2 linked regions of the Xenopus tropicalis genome follow. The protein of the gene in region 1 purifies or fractionates together with the protein of each later gene. This does not show direct contact. Links are inferred from orthologs where the notes say so. Each region holds a gene or a part of one and is shown in the gene's direction. Other genes may lie near its edges.

The links.
Region 2: the proteins of parva (region 1) and rsu1 purify together in Homo sapiens (affinity purification with mass spectrometry; 3 studies listed by BioGRID and IntAct, counting the BioPlex papers as one, with this or other methods). This does not show direct contact. The link is inferred for Xenopus tropicalis from reciprocal best matches to the Homo sapiens genes PARVA and RSU1.

Annotation. Positions count from the first base shown.
Region 1 is NC_030680.2:6,469,559-6,473,211, forward strand, and holds part of parva (alpha-parvin), read left to right. Parts: intron 1-792; coding exon 793-908; intron 909-3,653. UniProt on the Homo sapiens protein: Plays a role in sarcomere organization and in smooth muscle cell contraction. Required for normal development of the embryonic cardiovascular system, and for normal septation of the heart outflow tract.
Region 2 is NC_030682.2:28,758,820-28,762,472, forward strand, and holds part of rsu1 (ras suppressor protein 1), read left to right. Parts: intron 1-137; coding exon 138-256; intron 257-1,608; coding exon 1,609-1,691; intron 1,692-1,946; coding exon 1,947-2,061; intron 2,062-3,653. UniProt on the Homo sapiens protein: Potentially plays a role in the Ras signal transduction pathway. Capable of suppressing v-Ras transformation in vitro.

The DNA of each region.
Region 1 (3,653 bases):
TGCCTCACGTTTAAGATAACTTTTAGTATGTTACAGAATGGCCAGTTCAAAGCAACTTTTCAATTGGTCTTCATTATTTATCTTTTATAGTTTTATCATTATTTGCCTTCTTCTTCTGCCTCTTTCCATCTTTGAAATGGGGGTCACTGACCCCGGCAGCCAAACCCTATTGCTCTGTGAGGCTCCAGTTTTATTGTTATTGTTACTTTTTATTGCTTGTCTTACTATTCAGCCCCTCTCCTATTCATATACCAGTTAATCTCTCAAACCATTCCATGGTTACCAAGTTAAACTGGACCCTAGCAACCAGATAGCTGCTGAAATTCCAAACTGCAGAGCTGCGGAAGAAACAGTAAAATAATTAAAAAGCTACCAATAATAAAAAATGAAGACCAATTGCAAATTGTCTCAGTATAGCACGCTCTACATCACACTAGAAGCAGCAGGAAGGGGAGTGTACTGGCCTGTGATTGGACAGCCCTGCACACATGATCAATTATAAATCCCAGTCGGCTCTGGGAAGGAGGGGCAGGGGGGACAAATATTTTCCAAATACTTTTTAAACACTCAGAGCCTGTGTTCTCCAGCCCACCAGAACTGACTGACCAATCAGAGCTTGGCATGTTGATGACACAGAGTAATCTGCCCTATTGGAACACAGGCCCTGGCGCAGCTGCACCCCCAGCCGCCTTGGTAGCTCTGACGATTGCTGGGAATATTGGGCCTTTAGGTGCCCGTATGGCAAATGGGGGAAAAATCAACTTAATCTTCATTTTTTTTCTTTTATTTCAGCAATCCATGCAAAGTCTGTGGTAGCCATCCTTCATCTTCTGGTTGCCCTGTCACAGTATTTTCGGGCCCCCATCCGACTACCCGATCATGTATCAATTCAGGTCGTCGTTGTGCAGGTAACGTCAATGTTTGGGCCTTAATATCTGAAATTCACTATGTGGCACATCAGCTGGGTGCAGGGCAGGCATTAACCCTTCCAACACTTTCCCCTGTCTCTGCCCCTATATATTAGGTACCTACCTAGTGCTACCAACCCCTATTTCTGTAGGGAAATGAGAGCAGGGCAGGCAGTAACCCTTCCAACACTTTCCCCTGTCTCTGCCCCTATATATTAGGTACCTACCTAGTGCTACCAACCCCTATTTCTGTAGGGAAATGAGAGCAGGGCAGGCAGTAACCCTTCCAACACTTTCCCCTGTCTCTGCCCCTATATATTAGGTACCTACCTAGTGCTACCAACCCCTATTTCTGTAGGGAAATGAGAGCAGGGCAGGCAGTAACCCTTCCAACACTTTCCCCTGTCTCTGCCCCCATATATTAGGTACCTACCTAGTGCTACCAACCCCTATTTCTGTAGGGAAATGAGAGCAGGGCAGGCAGTAACCCTTCCAACACTTTCCCCTGTCTCTGCCCCTATATATTAGGTACCTACCTAGTGCTACCAACCCCTATTTCTGTAGGGAAATGAGAGCAGGGCAGGCAGTAACCCTCCAACACTTTCCCCTGTCTCTGCCCCTATATATTAGGTACCTACCTAGTGCTACCAACCCCTATTTCTGTAGGGAAATGAGAGCAGGGCAGGCAGTAACCCTTCCAACACTTTCCCCTGTCTCTGCCCCTATATATTAGGTACCTACCTAGTGCTACCAACCCCTATTTCTGTAGGGAAATGAGAGCAGGGCAGGCAGTAACCCTTCCAACACTTTCCCCTGTCTCTGCCCCTATATATTAGGTACCTACCTAGTGCTACCAACCCCTATTTCTGTAGGGAAATGAGAGCAGGGCAGGCAGTAACCCTTCCAACACTTTCCCCTGTCTCTGCCCTTATATATTAGGTACCTACCTAGTGCTACCAACCCCTATTTCTGTAGGGAAATGAGAGCAGGGCAGGCAGTAACCCTTCCAACACTTTCCCCTTTCTCTGCCCCTATATATTAGGTACCTACCTAGTGCTACCAAACCCCTATTTCTGTAGGGAAATGAGAGCAGGGCAGGCAGTAACCCTTCCAACACTTTCCCCTGTCTCTGCCCCTATATATTAGGTACCTACCTAGTGCTACCAACCCCTATTTCTGTAGGGAAATGAGAGCAGGGCAGGCAGTAACCCTTCCAACACTTTCCCCTGTCTCTGCCCTTATATATTAGGTACCTACCTAGTGCTACCAACCCCTATTTCTGTAGGGAAATGAGAGCAGGGCAGGCAGTAACCCTTCCAACACTTTCCCCTGTCTCTGCCCCTATATATTAGGTACCTACCTAGTGCTACCAACCCCTATTTCTGTAGGGAAATGAGAGCAGGGCAGGCAGTAACCCTTCCAACACTTTCCCCTGTCTCTGCCCCTATATATTAGGTACCTACCTAGTGCTACCAACCCCTATTTCTGTAGGGAAATGAGAGCAGGGCAGGCAGTAACCCTTCCAACACTTTCCCCTGTCTCTGCCCCTATATATTAGGTACCTACCTAGTGCTACCAACCCCTATTTCTGTAGGGAAATGAGAGCAGGGCAGGCAGTAACCCTTCCAACACTTTCCCCTTTCTCTGCCCCTATATATTAGGTACCTACCTAGTGCTACCAACCCCTATTTCTGTAGGGAAATGAGAGCAGAGCAGGCAGTAACCCTTCCAACACTTTCCCCTGTCTCTGCCCCTATATATTAGGTACCTACCTAGTGCTACCAACCCCTATTTCTGTAGGGAAATGAGAGCAGGGCAGGCAGTAACCCTTCCAACACTTTCCCCTGTCTCTGCCCTATATATTAGGTACCTACCTAGTGCTACCAACCCCTATTTCTGTAGGGAAATGAGAGCAGGGCAGGCAGTAACCCTTCCAACACTTTCCCCTGTCTCTGCCCCTATATATTAGGTACCTACCTAGTGCTACCAACCCCTATTTCTGTAGGGAAATGAGAGCAGGGCAGGCAGTAACCCTTCCAACACTTTCCCCTGTCTCTGCCCTTATATATTAGGTACCTACCTAGTGCTACCAACCCCTATTTCTGTAGGGAAATGAGAGCAGGGCAGGCAGTAACCCTTCCAACACTTTCCCCTGTCTCTGCCCCTATATATTAGGTACCTACCTAGTGCTACCAACCCCTATTTCTGTAGGGAAATGAGAGCAGGGCAGGCAGTAACCCTTCCAACACTTTCCCCTGTCTCTGCCCCTATATATTAGGTACCTACCTAGTGCTACCAACCCCTATTTCTGTAGGGAAATGAGAGCAGGGCAGGCAGTAACCCTTCCAACACTTTCCCCTGTCTCTGCCCCTATATATTAGGTACCTACCTAGTGCTACCAACCCCTATTTCTGTAGGGAAATGAGAGCAGGGCAGGCAGTAACCCTTCCAACACTTTCCCCTGTCTCTGCCCTATATATTAGGTACCTACCTAGTGCTACCAACCCCTATTTCTGTAGGGAAATGAGAGCAGGGCAGGCAGTAACCCTTCCAACACTTTCCCCTTTCTCTGCCCCTATATATTAGGTACCTACCTAGTGCTACCAACCCCTATTTCTGTAGGGAAATGAGAGCAGGGCAGGCAGTAACCCTTCCAACACTTTCCCCTGTCTCTGCCCCTATATATTAGGTACCTACCTAGTGCTACCAACCCCTATTTCTGTAGGGAAATGAGAGCAGGGCAGG
Region 2 (3,653 bases), on another chromosome or scaffold:
GCTACTGCACATGGGCAAACATAGCGTCCTTTATTTATCACCCCCTAATTGTCTGCTATTTTGAAATCTTATGTATATTTTTATTTATTTAAATCTTATGTTTTAAACATATCTAATCCTGTGTTTGTGCTGGTCAGTATGAACAGGTTAAACAGTTTACCACGTGGGTTTGGCTCCTTGCCTGCTTTGGAAGTCCTTGACCTGACCTACAACAACATGAATGAGAACTCCCTGCCCGGAAATTTCTTTTATCTAAGTAAGAAATAGCACTGTAGCCTGTAAGACATTTAATCCTGTGTATATGCTGAAGTATGGGTATACAAACTATTATCTTGACTGCTTGGGATCTGTGCTTTTCTGTATAAGGGATCTTTCCATAATTTAGATCTCCATACCTTAAGGCTGTTAATAAATATTTAAACATAAAACAGAACCAATAGGACTGTCTTTCCACCAATATGAATTCATTCAGCTGAGATGCCTCCAAGTAAGAGGTACTGTTTAATTATTACAGAAAAAATTTAAATCATTTTTAAAAATGTGAATTTTTTGATTATAGTGGACTCTATGGGAGATGGCCTTTCCATAATTCAGAGCTTTCTGGATAACAGGTTTCCAGATAAGAGAGCTGGTAAAATAAAGCGCTAAAGAAGAGCAGATGCAAGCATAAAACCTCTATGGTCCACAGTACTACTGCTATACGATAATAATGCACACATTATGGGAGCAGCTCATTTAGTGGGGATTTTTACAGTTAATTACACAGAACAAATGTACAGCTTGCTATACTCGCGTGTTTAATAGAAATAGATTACTGACACATCCCACGAGTACTCTATAATCCCACATGGAAAAATATTGTTCTAAAAATATATAGGATTTTATGTTAAATTCACTAGTAAATACCTGGTACAGGCATAGGACCTTATATCCAGAATGTTCCTGGGGTCCTGCGGTTTTCCTGGGGTTTTCTGGATTAGGGATCTTTCCGTAATTTGGATACCTTAAGTCTATAATAAATTATTTAAAAATTAATTAAACCCAATAGATTATTTTGCCTCCAATAAGGATTAATTATACCTTAGTTGGGATCAAGTACAAGGTACTGTTTTATTATTACAGAGAAAGGGAAAATTATTTTTAAAAATTAGAATTATTTGCTTATAATGAAGTTTATTGTAGATGGCCTTCCTGTAATTCAGAACTTTCTGAATAAGGGATTTCTGGATAATGGATCCCATACCTGTATGAAACAGACAGTGACTTCTTTACGACAGTAATATTTAGATCAGTCTATAAAAGTACAGCACCGCCGGTAAAGGAAACCCTCTACGTGACAGCCACAAAATAAAGGGCACCGTTCGCAGCAGAAGAAACTGTTAATTGTGTCAGGCCTTTGGATATAAATGTTTTCCTGTACGGACAAGCCGTGCCATAAGCCACTAAATCTGCGCCTGACCTGCCTGTTATTATTGTGAGCCCTGGATGTGTCAAAGGCTTTTCACCACGTCGGGGTTATTAATCAGAGCTGACTGCTTTTTATTGATCACCGCTGAAGTGGTTGGGGCTACACACCGCCCTGTTTATATATTGCTGTTTAATTTGCAGCCACCCTGCGCGCACTCTATCTAAGTGACAACGATTTTGAAATCCTGCCGCCAGATATCGGGAAGCTCACGAAGTTGCAGATAGTAAGTAATTTATCTAAATTCCTGGAAAATCAATTCACTTTCGCAGCCCTTGTAAGACTGGAGTCTAGTCAATTTAAGAAGTAGTGTGCTTTATTTTTCAGCACAAGCTACTGACCCAGCACGGCTGCTTGTCTATCAGCACATTTGTGTAAATAAATTGGAATTCTGAAAGAGAGCGACGGAATAATAGCTGAGTCGCGCTTTATTTCCCATTTAATGCCATGGCAACTTTTGTGTTTTTGTTTCCCTTTCTAGATCAGTCTTCGGGATAATGACCTGATATCATTGCCTAAGGAAATAGGGGATCTCACCCAGCTTAAAGAGCTACATATACAAGGAAATAGGCTAACAGTCCTGCCCCCTGAACTTGGTAAGGTTTTGATCCATTTGTATCCAGTGCATTAAATAAGAACTGAATTTTAAAATCTTTATGCACAGAAATGTCTTTCTCTCAATGGTTATCACATCCAGCAGCCCGCTTCCTGAGGCACAGGCATAGGTGTTGATTCTGATAAATATGTCTACCTGTTAAAAAATTCCAGACTACTGAGAAAGTTTTCTACAATAGGGAAAATGTCAAAGGGCTGGGAATTCTTCAGGATTCTCCACATCAATATTTCATAAATCTGCCCCAAAGTTTCCCTTACTTTGGGACTGACTTCAGATATCTGTTTTATTGTTCTGTTTCTTAAGCATAATATGCACATCCAACTTTTCTTTATGTTATATTACACAGATATGTTGTCTTGGGCCAATGGCTTAGCTATAGAGCATTATAGGGTTTGTTTACCTTTTAATTAACTTTTAGTATGATGTAGAAAGTTATACTTGAGATTGGTCTTCATTTTTTTTTTTTTATTATTTGTGGTTTTCCTAATTATTTTACTCTCCAGTTTGTAATTTCAGCAGCTATCAGCCAGTTGCTAGGGTCCAAACTACCATAGCAATCAGTTGGTTTGAAAGAGACACTGGAATATAAATAGAAGAGGCCCTGAATAGAAAGATAACTAATAACATAATAAAGATAACATTAACAATACAATTGTTGCCTAAAAGGGCAATAGTTTTTTGACTGTTGGGGTCAGTGACCCCCAGTTGTAGCTGGAAAGAGTAAGAAGAAGGCAATTGTTTCCAAATCTATAAACAAATAAATAATGAAGACCAACTAAAAAGTTACTTAGAACTGGCCATTCTGCAACATACTGAAAGTTAACCTGAAGGTAAACCACCTCTTTAACATAGAAGGTTCACAGGTGACTGTTTTTATTATTCTGAAACTCCATTGTATTCAGATGTTTTGTATTAACTTATGAGGCTTTATACACAGGAACTCTTTCAGAGTGTATTCTGTTCACCCCCTTGGATGTTTTTGCATTTGCTGACTGACCCCCAGGGCATGAAAAGTGTGCGTTATTGAGTGTTGGTGGGGAATATACACAGCCGCTGAGGGTGACTGAGCAAAGAGTTTATGCAAGGCATATGCATCCAGGCATATTTTTTGGAATAAAACTTTTATTTTTCTAACCCTAAGTTTCTTTTTGTATGTTCATACAAAGGGGAAACAGTTTTCTCAAATCTTCAAGGCCCCAGTGTACAGGATACACATATTTCCAGAATGGGCATTCACACCTATGTTTTAGTCACAGGGCATTACCCACTGTAACCTTGGCTATGAATATCAACCCTAATATGAAAGTCACAGGCCTCTCCTTCTCCAACCCCTTTGTACCTTCCAGGTAGCCTCTGCCTTTGTCCCCTACCATGCAGTTGGTCTTTGTGGCTGGAGTGGCATTCAGCTCTGCCATGCATGTAAAGACAAATAAATTAAATAGGTGGTTCACCTTCAGGTTAACTTTCTGTCTGTTATTAAACAGCCTATTCTTGGCAATTTTTCAATTGGTCTTCATTTGTTTTTATTTTTAATTATTATTTTAATTTTTTCCAACTTTTAAATAGGGGTCA